Macaca fascicularis: one gene and its partner. The protein of the gene in region 2 binds, or shares a complex with, the protein of the main gene of each other region. Links are inferred from orthologs where the notes say so. Each region holds a gene or a part of one and is shown on either strand. Other genes may lie near its edges.

What was found. Proteins that work in one complex are often made in the same cells at the same time.
Region 1: the proteins of ATP2B1 (region 2) and NPTN are in contact, whole or in part, in a cryo-EM structure (PDB 6A69), measured with the Homo sapiens proteins. The link is inferred for Macaca fascicularis from reciprocal best matches to the Homo sapiens genes ATP2B1 and NPTN. Residues at the interface, in NP_001353449.1 of Homo sapiens: Phe954, Asp955, Ile956, Asp957, Glu996, Arg997, Asn998, Val999, Glu1039, Gln1040, Leu1042, Trp1043, Ile1045, Phe1046, Met1049, Gly1050, Leu1052, Leu1053, Gln1056; in NP_036560.1 of Homo sapiens: Arg245, Ser246, Asn248, Arg332, Arg334, Pro339, Pro342, Phe343, Gly345, Ile346, Glu349, Ile350, Ile352, Leu353, Ile356, Ile357, Tyr360.

The regions. Positions count from the first base shown.
Region 1 is NC_088381.1:50,554,377-50,562,182, reverse strand, and holds the start of NPTN (neuroplastin), read left to right. Parts: upstream 1-3,781; 5' UTR 3,782-3,954; coding exon 3,955-4,045; intron 4,046-4,074; exon of another isoform or gene 4,075-4,328; intron 4,329-7,806. UniProt on the Homo sapiens protein: Probable homophilic and heterophilic cell adhesion molecule involved in long term potentiation at hippocampal excitatory synapses through activation of p38MAPK. May also regulate neurite outgrowth by activating the FGFR1 signaling pathway.
Region 2 is NC_088385.1:96,592,288-96,599,993, forward strand, and holds part of ATP2B1 (plasma membrane calcium-transporting ATPase 1), read right to left. Parts: intron 5,744-7,706; coding exon 5,529-5,743; intron 3,150-5,528; coding exon 2,907-3,149; intron 1,570-2,906; coding exon 1,328-1,569; intron 1-1,327. UniProt on the Homo sapiens protein: Catalyzes the hydrolysis of ATP coupled with the transport of calcium from the cytoplasm to the extracellular space thereby maintaining intracellular calcium homeostasis.

The DNA of each region.
Region 1 (7,806 bases), on a different chromosome or scaffold from region 2:
AATATCCTTTTGAAGTTTGAGATCATGAATTTAAAATGCAGTCATTTAGACAGTTTGTATGATTTTTCTCTGGCAACACTCAGCTGCTCAGGTACAGGCATGGTACCTTATTTCAGACTATAGGGCTCAGTCAGATCGTGGTTTTTCCAGGAAAGTATGTTGAAAGTTGAGGTGGGCAAGGGAATGATTATAATGATGAATCATGTGCTCTAAATTGGACCAAGAAAGAAATGAAGAATGGATAAAGACACATTGGTGGGATTAGCAGATTAGTGGTCTCAGTGAGGTTGAAGAATTACAGCAAATAGGGTACTAGCACAAGGAAATGAAAGGCTAGGTGTTGGTGAATGGACAGGGGGTATTATATTTTCATATTTCAAAGATGAAGCCCTTTCTGGGTGATTAAAGTGTTGACGGTGTGAGCTCGAAAGTGTTGGTTTAGTTGAGGAGAAAGTTGGACATGAGAAGGTAAAAGGATTAAGAGATCATGGTACTGAATAGGTCATGAACATGGATGTTGAACTCACCCATGGATGGAGTTCAAGGATGGTACTAGGCATCAGAAGGGGCAGAGAAAAGATTACATTGGCTGGGAGGTCGCAAGATGACAACAATCAAGATGAGTGGGGTGGTAATCTGAATAGCAAGAGCTTTAAAGGGGCAGAGATCTTTACAAGAGGGAGGAAACCATTAGGAAGTTCAAGGTCAACTCTAGGAACAGTACAAGCCTCTTGACTAACATCCTTCCAATGGTTGAGTGAACCATGTTCAAACCAATCCACGCGAAGCCTTTCAGTTGGGAATGCTGTATTACAGGCCTTCCCACCAGGGGGCGCGATCAGCAACGGAGAGCCTAACTCCAAGCAGTCCCTGGAGGCCAGGAAAGTGTCTCAGCTTGAGCTCTGAGGACCCCTAGGGCTCTTCTAAGGTATTGCAAAGAACACAGCCAACCTCTGGCACAGCCACATACACTTGTAAAGAGTTTTTTTTTTTTTTTACAGTGTATGTAAGTCTTGAACAACAACAAAATACAAATTCCTAAATTCTTTTACAGAAGTTACTGACTTAGACCAGGCATGGTGGCTCATGCCTGTAATCCCAGCACTTTGGGAGGCTGAGGCAGGCGGATCACCTGAGGTCAGGAGTTTGAGACCAGCCTGGCCAACATGGCAAAACCCTGTCTCTACTAAAAATACAAAACTTAGCTGCGCATGGTGGCAGCTGCCTGTAATCCCAGCTACTTGGGAGGTTGAGGCACGAGAATCTCTTGAACCTGGGAGGTGCAGGTTGCAGTGAGCCGAGATCCCGCCACTGCACTCCAGCCTGGGCCACAGAACAAGACTCCATCTCAAAAAAAAAAAAAAAAAAAAGTTACAGAATTATTAAAAGGTCTTAGTTATTATGTATTTTCTCAACAAAAAGTGACGAAGTACAGCTACTATCATGTGGAATTTGAAGACATTTCTCTCTGGGCAAAAGGGCTTTTCATAAGTGCAGGTTTTGAGAGTTGACTGGTAACACCCATACTTAAAAATATTCCTCCCAGATCACTTTTTGAAAGCATGAGATAAGAAGAATACAAAGCTGGAGTCAGAATTGCAGCATCATCATCAACATCAACATGAGTGTTTACTATGCACCAGAAACTGTTCTAAACATCACACATAAATCTACTAATTTATTGCTTCTATAAACTTGTAAGGCAGGTGCTATCATTAGCACCATTTGACAGAAAATAAGGTCCAGAGAGATTAGGTCACTTGCCTAAGATGACACAGCTCCTGGATGGTAGGTGTTGTGGTGTTGTGGACTTGAATTTCATCTTTCCCTTAGCCGGAACAGTCTATGTTATGTCACAGGAACAAATACCCCTTGAATCTCACAGTTTAATTCAACAGAGGGTACCTGTTCTGTATGGGTTAGCAGAGGGGTTCAGCTTATTATGCTAACTCAGGGACTAATGCTGACATAAGGTTCTTTTTGATATGCGCTTTCATTGTCATGATCAGTAATCACTACCAAGACAAAAGAGTATGGAACAGAGTCTAAACATGCATTGCTTCTGCTTGAAAGCAATGCATGTCACTTTACACATTTCACTGACCCAAGCACATCACATGCCACTCCCGACTTCAAGGCGACAAGAAAATGCACTTCCACCATGAGCCTATTAACAAGCAAACCAGACTGTTTGGCATTAATGATTAATACAAACATTCTCAGAGCTGGAGCCATTCGTGTCCTCCCTTGGCTTCAGCTTCCCTATTCACAAAAATAGCATGATCATTTTGTAAGAATCTCTTGTTGTAAGGATCAAAGGGCCATATTTGTTACAGCTATAATGAGGCGGAATGGTTGCATCCAACCAAAGCTTCCATCAGCTGAAAATATTGATCCCACCACAGGCAGCCCTGTAGCCCTCCTTACAGGGCTGTCTGCAGAATGGCCTTTGTCCAGAGGAAGGTACATGCCAATCTTTTCGTCACTCACACACCTCAGGTTTTGAAAGATACAGTTTTCACTTCAATCGACAACATGCCATAGTGGTCCTGGCCCTTGCTGGAAAGTTTGCTCTGGAACCACAAGCTGGTTGTTGAAAGCTCCAGACCACTTTAGCTTGACAGAGATTGCGAGGGTCTCTTTCTTCTAGGTCCTCCAAACCCTCTCTTTAAATCAAGTCAGGCCACCAGGACTGTTTACTTGGCTCCTCGGAGATGCCACAGACACTCCCAGGACGTCTGCTGTGAGTCAGGGAAGAGCTAAGCCATAGAACTTTGCCAACCACAAGCGCTGAGGGTAGTACAAAAAATACCCCTAAAAAGAGCATTTCCTAAACTTCTATGCAAACAGTAGTAACCACACTGCCAATCACCCTCCAGAATGCTTTGCTAGATCCTTTCCTATGGGCCATTTGACCCTTCCTCACTCCTCTGCTAGCCTAGGCAAGGCACTCCATGAGGGCGGGGACTATCTTTTCATGTGGGTTTCACTTTGCGCCTGGCACACAGCACGTTCTCAATAAAGTTTCCCGCATTAAGACGCTTCTCAGGAGTCTTCATGTAAGTTCATATATGATGACTTCCTTGTAGAATTGTGTCTATGAACATGCAATTAGGCTAGTTGAACTTTAGGCCCTTAGAGTCTATAAGCTAAAATAAGGCCCAGATGGGGGTGGGGAGGAGGAGTAGGCAGAAGCGGAAAAGGAAGACATTTCAGGCAAAGGGAGCAGATGTCCAGCAGGAAGGCACAAGGTAACAGGGGGCACGGGGGGCGCACCACTTTTCCTGGAAGGAAAAAACAGCAGATGAGAGAAGGAGTTGGAGCCAGTTACCAGTAGAGGTCTATGTTCAAAGTCCAGAAGGAAGAAACAGCAGGGCAGGGGACAATGAGAGGAAGAATGAGAGGAAGGAGGAAAGGAGGCACGGTGTATTAAACTCTGCAGCCAAGAGCGCTAACAAATGAAAGGCAGGATGGGTGGAGGAAATGTACTGTGTTTCAAAGCTTCCTCTTATTTATGGGTGCGCCTGGGCCACAGAGGAGTAAACCGAACGAGGGCTTCCCGGTTCCCCACCGCCCGCAGAGCTGGCGGAGTCCCGCCTCGCCCCGTCACATGGCCAGAGGCGCCCTCGGCACGTGACCTACCTCGCGCTAGGCCAATCAGCCTCTGCAGGGGCGGGTCCGCCGGGTCCGCGGGGCGGGAGTCTCCATCGGGGCCGCCTCTTCTCGCGAGCCTTGCGGCGGTCGCTCCTCAGCCGCCCACGACCCGGAGCGAAGGTCTCGCGAGGCTTGGGCGCTGCGGCGGCAGGAGGAGGACGGGGAAGGACGGAGCCGAGCCGCGGCTTCCTCCCTCGCTCACTCCCTCGCGCGCTAGCCCGCCCCCTCCCTCCCTCCCCTCCCTTCCCCGGCCCCGGCTCTGGCCCCGGCCCATTCACTGTTGGGTCTTCTGCTAGGAGGATGTCGGGCTCGTCGCTGCCCAGCGCCCTGGCCCTCTCGCTGTTGCTGGTTTCTGGCTCCCTCCTCCCAGGGCCAGGCGCCGCTCAGAACGGTAAGCCGGGCGCCGGGGGCGGGCCGGGCGGGGGCTGAGGGGCGCCGGGGCCGGAGAGGGCCCGGCTCTGGCCCGAGGGGAAGCTGGAGCTCGGAGAAGGGTGCCGAGTGGGCGTCTGAGGGGCTGCGGGTCGGAGAGGAGGAGGTACCGGCCGCGGGTTTGAGGAGGCGCCCGTCCGAGCGGCGGGGGCGTCCAGGGAGAGCCCGAGGTGTTGCCGACTTGGGGGCTCCAAGTCGTGGGGCTCGTCGTGCCGGGTCGGCGAGGGGACACGGAGGAAGCCGACGTGAGGAGCTGGAGTAGCGGGGGCGGATGAGGAGGGGGCACAGCTCTTAGGGAGGGTGGCACAAGACGGGCGTTTGTGTTCCGGGCGACGGGGATGGTGGTGTCGGTCAGGCCCCCTGGGAGCTGGGGTCGTCCAGGATTCTACTGAGGCCCCGTAGGACTGGTGACATCCTTAAAAATAAGGGAGAAATTGGGGGGAAGAGAGTCCTGAAGCACACTAATGGTGAGCTGAGTACTAGATACCAAAGGAGGGGGTAAAGAATCAGGGAACCTTGGATCTGGGGATAGAGGGAGGGTGGGTGGGAAGATAAGGGAGTGGGTTGACTGCAGTAGGGGACCTGGAGAGAGAAGCAGCAGTATCTCCAAATGAGCTGGGGGAAGAGGGCTGGGTTTGCTAAAGAGGGTGGAGTGCTGGGCATTCTAGGGTAGTGGTTGGGAGAGCAAAAAGGAGTTTCTAAATAAGGAGAGGAAAATGAGCAGAGGATGGAGGGAAAGGGTTGGAACTGAGGTGGGGGAATATTTATTAGAGAAGTAAGGAGGCCTAGGTATAGAGATGGGGGTGGGGGAGACGAAAAATAAGGGAAGGGAGTAAAATGCAGGAAGTCGGGGGTGTAATGTTGGTTTGCAGTGTGGAGGATAAATTAGGGAAGGGAGGAGTTGGTATGTGGCAAATGCTGTATGATATTGGTCGGGCCTTTGGGAAGACAGGGACACATAGCTGCAACTAACTGCAGTGGTGGGATTGAGGGCAGTGACTGGCAACAGGGAGATGGGGAAGTGGATTTTTGAGATTTAAAAGTTTCAATACAGAAAAGATGTTATTTCCGAGGAACCTGAAAGTGGCCCCTGGGAGGTGGTACAGTAGAAACGAGAGAATTACTGGGTTTTGAATTGAAGCTCCTTTGAGAAGAAGGAGAAATGGTGGGGAATCATGGGCATAGGGATCTAAACAGAACAGATTCTGATTGAAGGCATGTGTTACCATTCAGCTGCTGAATTGATCTTTCAGAAGTGAGTCTAGGATTGTGAACCTGTTTCTGCCCTTGTGGAAACAGCCGTTAAGAGGTTAAAGAATATTTTTTCTGTGAAGGAATTTATGAGAAGTCAGTACTGGAGAATGAACTATAAATTATTTTTGCTAATCTTTCAGTGTTTATTGTTATGCTAGAACAATTTAAGATTACTCTTATTAGAGAGGCTGCAATTTAAATTTTAAAGCATCAGTGATAGAGCCAGTGGAGGTTTTTGAGAAACTGAGTTTAAAATGCTGAATGTTAGAGGGAAAATATATAAATAAAAGATTGACATTATCCATCAGTTAAATATGTGTTTGTAGTACCAAATTTTATGTATGCTTCATGGCCTTGGATATCACTGCAGGCGTCAGGAAGGAAACATTTTTTCTATCTCTAGCATTGAATATGCTAAGTGTATTGGGTATTTTTCCTGTTTTCCTCTAAGTATGATGAGTCCACTGTGGAAGGCAGGGTAGAGTTAGTCTTAATTTGTCTTATCAGTTTTTCGACTGTGTCAACAACATGACTTAAAGAAGCCTAATGCTAATTTTAGCTATTCAGTTTATGGTAATAGCATAGTTTCATTTTGCACAATAGGTGAGAGATTCTTGATCTTAACGTGTTTAATCTCTGCTGGCATAGCTTTTTTCCAATGACTTATAATACGGTAAAATTGTAGTTTCTTAGCAACTAAAGCGAGGTTTCTGGATAGGCCTATAAAGACTCATCTGTCTGCTCAGTGATATGTGTTCTAAATACAGCATAGAACGGCCTTTCCCTTGAAATGAGCTTGAATTCAGTCACATGACATGACCGATGAAATGAAGCTGAGCTGCTGGTTGACCCAAATGAATGTAAATTTAATTCAAGGAAAAATGGCTATTTTTGAGTTTGAGTTCGTATAGTTAAGGATGCCATTTTATAGCTTTCTATAACATGTCTTATTATAATATTCACGCTTTCATTTAGTAATAAATAGCCCTGCAGTGATCTAACTTCATGTCATGGGGTTTGTATTTTCTTACAGTACTTTCAAAAAGGGATACCTTGTTTGTGCATGATGTTGAAATGTTAGAAATGTTAGATTTTCTATTTAAATGATTGGAGGAAAAAAAACTCACAAGTGTCTCTGAATCGGAAATGTAGTAGTTTAGGTTGAATATAGATGTTTTTCAAAAGATGTTTGTTTTATTATTCCTAAAATGAAGAATTTGGCCTGTATGACTCTCGAGGTCTCTTGAAGCTCCAGTGAGTTTCTGACCCATTGCTGTGGGCATTCAGGGCTTTCATTCAGATTTTGTTTCTCGTCCAGATATTTAAACTTGTAAGACCGGTTCCAAGTAAAATCCTTATTTGTTGACTTTTATATGTATCATCTAAATGGTAGTTTAAAGAAGGAACTTGTTCTAAAAAGTAACCTTATAAGACATTCAAAAGTATTGGACTGCAATTGAGTGAGTGTAAACAAAGCAGTATAATATGATAATCAGGAGTGCATGCTTTGGACAGTAACAGACTCAAGTTTGAGTTCCAGCTCTCAGTAGCTGAGTGACCTTGAGTAATGCAAACTTCAGTTTCATCATCTGTAAAATGGGAATTGCAATAAGGTCCATTCCCTAGGGATGATGTGAGGTTTATTAAATGAGGTAATGGCAGCTTAGCGCTTAACCTGGAATATTGTGAGTCTCAGTACATGTTAGCTATTACTATTATCCTTTAAAGAGTAGCATTATTTATTATTTATTTTTCTTCATGTGTATATTGAAAACTTGATTGTTAATGCTGCTGTCATGGTAACTAGGCCATTTGAAGGCCCCACATAGAGATTTGTGCTTTTGCTTATGTAACTTTCTCAGAAAAGTGACCAGCTGCACTGTGTCTGCAATTGCCAATTCTGGTGAGGAAGTTAATATTTTCAGTTGAGTTTCTGGGAGAGACTTTATGGCTTTGTTTTTTTCTTCTTTTTTTTTTTTTTTCAGTGAACCAAATCTTTCAAATGGGCCAGGTATCACTTTCTCATAGAATATTATTGTTGTGAATAAGAGAAATAGAATGTGGTGCCCAGCACACAGTGGGAGTGTTATAGATGTTAGTTGAATTAATAAATGTGGAGTGGTGTGTAAAAATGTAATATATTCATATGGAAAATATGACATCACATAATTAACACTGTTCAATGGAGGAAAATAGGGAATCTAATGAATCTTACTTTTAACGACCTAAATTTTAGAAACCATTTTGCTTGGGTGATACTAGATAGTTGTGAACTTTGTGCTTTGTAATAATGCCAGTATTTGCATTAGATGATTCATGGATCTTTTTCTCTTCTGTCAAGGGCTGTTTGCTTCAGTGGTTTGGCAATTTTTTCTCCCTGAGTACATTTTTAGAGGTATATTTGCTAATTGATTTTGTGTCTTCTCTTTGAGCTGAAATGAGCAACAGAAGACAAATCTTATCTACGGC
Region 2 (7,706 bases):
CCCCTCCCAAATACGACCTGCTGTGGTTTCCCTAACCTCAAAGTTCTCATTTCATACCAAAACCTATCTTAAATGCCCCATCCCTACAGTATGATCTCTCACCCAAAAGCTTTGTACCAATTTATTATATGCTGCCTTCAGTTATTTATTTATATATTTGTCTCTTAAACTAATTGTAAAGTGTTCATTAAGATAATACTGGCTTATAATCCACATGTAAGCAAATTAAAAGTATATTTTAAATATTTACTTTAATATTTTAAATACTATAATTTCAAATGAGTTCCAATTTTCCCAAATTGCTCTACACCAGTATTTTTTTTTAAACCAGTTCTCTACTTCTTTAATGGAATTAAAGAAACCAAAATAATTTTACCACCTTTAATATCAAATAAACATCAGGAGAAATATATGTGAGCATGTTACAGCAAAATTAAAGCTACTGGTCTGTAAAAGGACAGCAAGAAAGAAAAATTAGTATTCAAAATGACAGGAGTATTTAAATATGACACTGCAGCCGCATAAATATGATAAATCTCATTTTGATATAAATGGGGAATTTTCAAGATCCAGCTTTTATGCTTTGCTATTCTAAAAATTACTCCATAATTCTCGTATCACATTCAGAATCCAGTAACCACAATGAGCGCTGAAGATCTAAACTTGAGGCCAGGTGCAGTGACTCACGTCTGTAATCCCAGCACTTTGGGAGGCCAACACAGGCAGATTACTTGAGGTCAGGAGTTCAAGACCAGCCTGGCCAACATGGTGAAACCCTGACTCTACTAAAAATACAAAACTTAGCCAGGTGTGGTGGGAGGTGCCTGTAATCCCAGTTACTTGGGAGGCTGAGGCAGGAGAATCCCTTGAACCCAGGGGCAGAGGATGAAGTGAGCTGAAATGGCACCACTGCATTCCAGCCTGGGTGATACAGGGAACCTCCATCTTAAACAAACAAACAAACAAAAAAGAGACATAAACTTAATTTTCTTCCCAGGAGGTTTTTTCAAGATTCTACATATTAAATAACAAGTAAATCAACTTCTAAAAATAAACATCAAACTATACATCATTAAACATACCAGACTGAATGTAATGGGTTTATTTTCCCTATAGTAAAATACTAAGAAATAAGAGAAGCTAGAGTGTGAAAATGGCAGAATAGCAGGGGCAAATATCTGGATACCATAAAATATGCTAAAAAGCTCTGAAGTCCTATCAAATGCCTGATGTTCACAAAAAGAAGACAACAACAACAACAATACAGTAAATATTCCATAAAGCAACTATAGTCAGCAATTTATTCATCTAAGCATTTTACTCTTACTTTTTCAGAATTATCTCAGATGCGCCCTTGCTGAATATTCGGTAACTTCCATCTGAATTTTTCAGAACAGTACTCATGGATTTCCTAACAGAATTGAAGGTGTAGACTTTGTACAGTGCTTCTTCCGGTATTTCATTTCTAACATCCTGATAATCCCGTTTTAAATCCAAAAGAAGTCCCAACAAGGCACATTCAGTTTTATTACCAACGTGACGAGGTAATCCACCCTCTTTCTCTGGGGGCTGTAAGAGAAAAAGGTTTAGTAGCTAGTATCATCTTGTTTCTCTATGAACATTTAATTTATAATGTAAAACAGAATGCGACATTCTAAAATAAAATTACAGAACAATTGTCTAATATCAACATTTTAAAGGAGGACACAGAAAAGTAAGGTAGAAAGGAGCCTGGGGTGAGAATGACATGGATTCTAATCTCAGTCCTGCCAGTTACTAGCTACATGAAATTTGACAATTGCCCAACTGCTGTGGTCCTTGGCTTCAGCGTCTGTAAAACAGGAGCACTTATGACCCCAAAATTAAATGATATAAGATGTATAAAGTTTATAGTTGGTTCCTAATACAGAGTGGAACTTAATTTTAATTCCCTTTTCCTGTTTTCACTTAACTTTAGTACTAAATCATTCAAAATTAAATCTACTTTACCAATTTTTATGGATTAAAAGTACATGCATTAAAATATTGTTCTCTTAAATGCAGTGAGAAGCTTTATTTCCTTCACAGTGCCTTCAGAAATACCACCTTACATAATCATCACAATGGGATTAAGGGCCGACGTGATCATCTTTACTCAGTAATTAAAGAAGGTAGCTCAGACTTTCAGCTAGTAAAAGGCAAAGTCAGATCTAGAACCAAGATCCCATAACTTTCCAATGCAATCATCCAATTCATGTATGTTTTCCCTAATGAACAGCATGCAATATTGTTTTTGTTAATGATTTTCATCCATAAATCACTAGAAGAGATTAAGTCAAACATAACATTGTATGCTTTCTGTTACAAATAAGATTTCTAAAACTTGTAAAGTTGAAAATTTTGTTTTATATGGTGGCACATGTCTAGAATTACTTTACTGCATTAGTTCTACCAAGGTTTCTAAGCACCACCTTTTAGGTAGGAACTACTGAGAAACCAAACAGAGCACATGGCAAGCATATATAAAACATGTTATTTTAAGTTGAAATCAGGCTTCAAAATTTTCTCTAAGTTGAGAGCTGACCTACTATGGTAAGACAGCTTGATCTTTCTCAAAAATGAGTTTAACAAGAATTTAAAATTAAATACATGTTCTGCTTATAAGGGTGGAGAGTTTCTGAACACAGGAAATTCAAAATATAGGAGGAGAAAAACGTAAGTAAACAATGTTTATGTTGATCAGCAGATCTCACTCATAACACAAATTTAAAAACCATTATATAAATAAATATATGCCTTTTAAAAACTTAACACAGTTCAGTTTACTTTACATACAGTAATGGTGGGTCTGAAGACTTACATATAGTCCCATCATTATAGATTTAAAAATTAATTTTTATATACATAAATTATTTCAAAAACCTTACCAATATTTTTGATGTATAAGCACAATTCACAGAAATTCCTGTTACAAGATAGGACAAAATATTTGGTGGAATAGCTTCTGGCTCAGGAACCTTTTTATAATGTTTTTCATTTATGTAAGCTTGAACAACTGTCATTCTGTTCATTGTCAAAGTTCCTGTTTTATCTGAACAAATAGCTGTAGCATTTCCCATGGTTTCACAAGCATCCAGATGCCTTACTAAGTTATTATCTTTCATCATTTTCTACATTAAAAAAAAAAAAAAGTTAAGCTGCATATAAAACCAATCACCTCATTACATTAAAATGATTACAAATTGTTTTAAAATTAGAACTAAAACTCCCAGCTTTCTATAAATACAATGTATAAAGTACCAATGTAATACTAAAATTTTTTTTTTTTTTTTTTAGCATATTTGACCTATTAAAATAAGCTAAACACAATGCTAGAGCTTTCTGGGGTTTCAATCATTTTATTGCTGCATAACATAACCTAGTAAGTCAGTTCAGGCACCTGCATCCATAAACAAATAACACTGAATATATGTCTCCAACGGTTTTTGCAAAATGTCCTCACATTACAAGAGCAATGACAATCTGTATAGTGGTACTTATAGTAGTGTAAGAGTATATTAAAGGATTAAGCCTCCCTATTAAGTGGAAAACAAAAGATTCTTACATCAGTTCCAAGGAAAAAATGGCCTTTATCAGCTAAAATAAAGAGCTTGTGGGTATGTAATTGCTTGATATTTTTATTATTAATTCTAAAAGAGTTAACATATCAAAACTAGAATGAGTCATTTTTTAGCTATTCTATATGCTGGCAGACTTGGCATTTTCATCCTTAGCAGCAAACTGTGTCTCACTTCTTTCTCTCATTTACAACAGAAAAAATCATTTCTAAAAAACCAACAGTTTTCACAGTAGTTTCACAGGGCATTTAAGCCAAAATACCTTATAATTAGTTCTCAGCACTTAATGTGGAATGGGTTAAAAACTATATGAAGTTATTTTACAAAGTGTTTTCTGTGATGACTAATATGCAAGATACTGCAAAAAAATTGGTTCCTTGAAAAAATACGTGAAAAACAGATGCGCACTTCCTAAATTACTTGTGATTTACATATTAAAGTTGAGAAGAATGAAGTTTTGCAGTAAAGAAACCATGTTCAGTTTTGTGAAACACTAACAGAGAATCCATAAAGACTATACCTCTGTGAAAAGAACAGTAATTGGTAACATTAGAGCTAGATAAACATTTAAGAAAGGCTTAAAAAAGTAGTTAACTTGTTCTTACTAATTTTATATTCCAAAAACATACATCAATCCTACCAGTATCGTTCTAATCAATTAAAAAATTAGTATCATTAATGACTACTCAAAATGAACTAATGACAGTTTGGTAAAATGACTGTTCTGTGTCCAAAACTTGTATTTACCCCAAATTTTTCAAATTACTTTAAAATATCAAAAAAGGACAAATAGATGACTGATTATACTATATCTTATCACTTTGATACATTTACCAATTTATTTTTTAAATGAAAGTTGTTAAATGCCTGAAAAGAAAATAAACTCAAACAGTAAGCAAAAAACATTCTTATCAAGACAGGTCTAATAATGAAGAGTGGAAAGGTAGAAACGATGACTAATATTGCTCACTGTCAGCAATGTTTCTTAAGGAGAACTAGTAATTAACATTTGAAAATTTACAAAAGCAGCATTCTTCGTTTGGTTATAATTTTTTACCTGCAAGATCATTTTGAAAAAAAAAGTTCAAAATTGTCCAAGCTACGTTTAAAAAAAAAAAAAATGCAATCCACCTTTTCCGTAAGATAGAAAATTGATAAAAATAAATTAATAATCTTCCAAAAGATTATTACTTTAAGGTAAACAGCAGTAAGCAAAGCCATCAAAGCTCATCTCTTAGTATTCTACTTGGAGAACAAGAAGGACTGAGCTACTGTATATCAAGTGGTCAGAGGAAGGTGACACTTGAAGGGACCTTATGAATAAAGAAAGAGAGCAGGTTACTCAAAGGAAGGAACAAGTGGGCCCTGAAGTAAGAATACAGTTGAGATGTTTGAAAATCATCAGGAAGACTGGTGAGGTTGGGCCAGAGGAGCAGAGAATGAGCAGACAGGTAAACAAAGGCCAGATTGGCAGGGCCTTGCAGGCCACGGTAAAGAGTTTGCATTTTACTCTAATTGTCATGAGAACTAACTGAAAGGTTTTACACATGGAAATCATAATTTTTAAATTTGTTTTTATTTTTAGAAACATGAGCCTAACTTGCTCACCTTAATTTTACAGATGGAAAAGAGGAGGTGACGTGACTTGACAATATAACTATCACGTAGCGAAAATCACGCTAGAACTGTGCCTAGCAGAGTCGTGCTTAGTATTGTGTCAAGGCTGCCCTTATGTGGAATGCACAGGTCTCTTACAGAGACACTCAACTGGTGGGAGGTACAGGGCATCAATGACAACATTTCTAGAGAAAATAGTGTACGTTTATGAAAGTCCTCACTTTCAGAAGCAGAAAAGGAGTAACTAGATGGGCATTTTCTATACCAGCTAAGGGTTTAAACATAACAACGTCTACTGAACAATTTTCTACTTACTTTGACTGAATAAGCCAGTGAGATCGTGACTGCAAGTGGAAGACCTTCTGGCACTGCGACCACTAAAACCGTAACTCCAATAATGAAGAACTTCACAAAGTACTGTATATAAATTGGTGTGCATTCAGCAAGCCATGGTCTTTTCTGAACCCAGAAGGTGTCAATGACAAAATATAATACTAGAATGATAACTGTGATGGCAGACATCAAAAGACCTTTCAGAATAGAAATGAAAGAAAAATGTGATTATTTAAAGTTCCAGACACTAACCACTGCCAGATACATATTAACCACTGTAAAGAGTTATAACTTGCTCGATAGTAATGAATTTCTCTGAGAAATTGTTACTTCTTTCTTGCACCTAACTTGTAACTTGACATTGTCCGATTCAATTTTTTGCTTCCAAGTACAGTCTTGTCCCCAGGAGAACTGGGAGAAAAACACTTAGGATTCTTTCCTTAGACTTAATTATATCTTTGGCCTTGTACTGAAACTGAGACAAAAATAATACGCAATGATAAGGAAGTACCCAAAGCTTAGAATAAACTGGTGCTTTACATGTTCAAGAAGCAAGCTCCCTAATGCTTAAAGAGAAACTGGTAAAAATCTGATCAATGGGGAGACCTGGAATTAAATACTCAACCCATGTTTTTAAAAAATAACATTATAATAAATAAAATTATATAGTACGAATTATTATTTCTTCAATTTTTTTTGCTCTATCCTTACTGTTTCATTAACTTAGTAAACCAACAGTTAACCATGTATCTTGTGGGATACTCTGCTTTTTGACGTGTATGAAAAAACAGGGCAGCTGGCTGGGTGCAGTGGCTCATGCCTGTAATCCCAGCACTTTGGAAGGTCGAGGTGGGTGGATCACCTGAGATCAGGAATTTGAGACCAGCCAGCCAAACACGGTGAAATCTCATCTCTACAAAGATACAAAAATTAGCTGGGCATGGTGGCGCGTGCCTGTAATACCAGCTACTCCAGCTGAGGCAGGAGGATCGCCTGAACCCGGGAGGCAGAGGTTGCAGTGAGCTGAGATCGTGCCACTGCACTCCAGCCTGGGTGACAGAGCGAGACTCCGTCTCCCACCCCCAACCCCCCCAAAAAGGAGGCAGCTGGGCACAGTAGCTCACGCCTGTAATCCCAAGACTTTGGGAAGCTGAGGTGGCAGGATCACTTGAGCCCAGGCATTTGAGACCAGCCTGGCCAACACGGTGAAACCCCGTCTCTATTAAATTTACAAAAATTAGCCGGGTGTAGTGGCGTGCATCTGTAGTCCCAGCTACTTAGGGGGCGAAGGCAGGAGGATAACCTGAGCCTTGGGATGTCGAGGGTTCAGTGAGCTGTGATCATACCACTGTACTCCAGCCTGGGTGACAGAGTGAGACCCTGTCTCCAAAAAAAAAAAGAAAAAAGAAAAGAAAAAAGAGAAAAGGTAAGTCCACATATCTGGTTCTAACATTCCAATCTAATGTCTACTAAGTGGATTTACCACCTCAAATTCACTCTTTTCCCCCAACATTACATGAGTCAGTATTACCACTTGGCTACATATTACAAAGAGCAAATATTTGCTATTAGATAATAAGCATACTGAGGACAGAAGCAAAAACATCACTTTTTCCATCACACTCCTAGAGTAGTAAAATGATACAATTTAAGCAATTTTAATAATATATGCTTATTTATCCACACAGTGTTCTTCCAAAAACATACTACTGCTGGAGGTTATGCTGTTTTTAACCTTAGAGCTCTGCTTTTTCCCTTAAAGAACAGCTGTATTAACAGGTATTTTCTAGGGATGGCAATAATGTAGTAACTTCAGCCTCACTACAATAACTCCAGTGCAGAACTTTAACATTAGAGACATAACTAAAAATTCTCATAGATAACCAGTAAAAAGATGAGCAAAATGTGTGATGAAATTTTATTAAAATATAATTAGTTCATCTTAACTGAATAATCTCACAGGTTGCCTTTTCTCCACTTAATGCAGAAATTCAGAGATGAGTGCATAGACTTGTAACTGGACAGACTTAGGCATTAATCCTAACCCGACCGCTTATTAGCAAATTTTAAGTACCTATAGTAACTCAAAGGGCCTGGTGCACTGTAGCTAGAAGTGAAAATATTTCAAACTCCCCTTCTATTCACAAAGTAACAATTTCC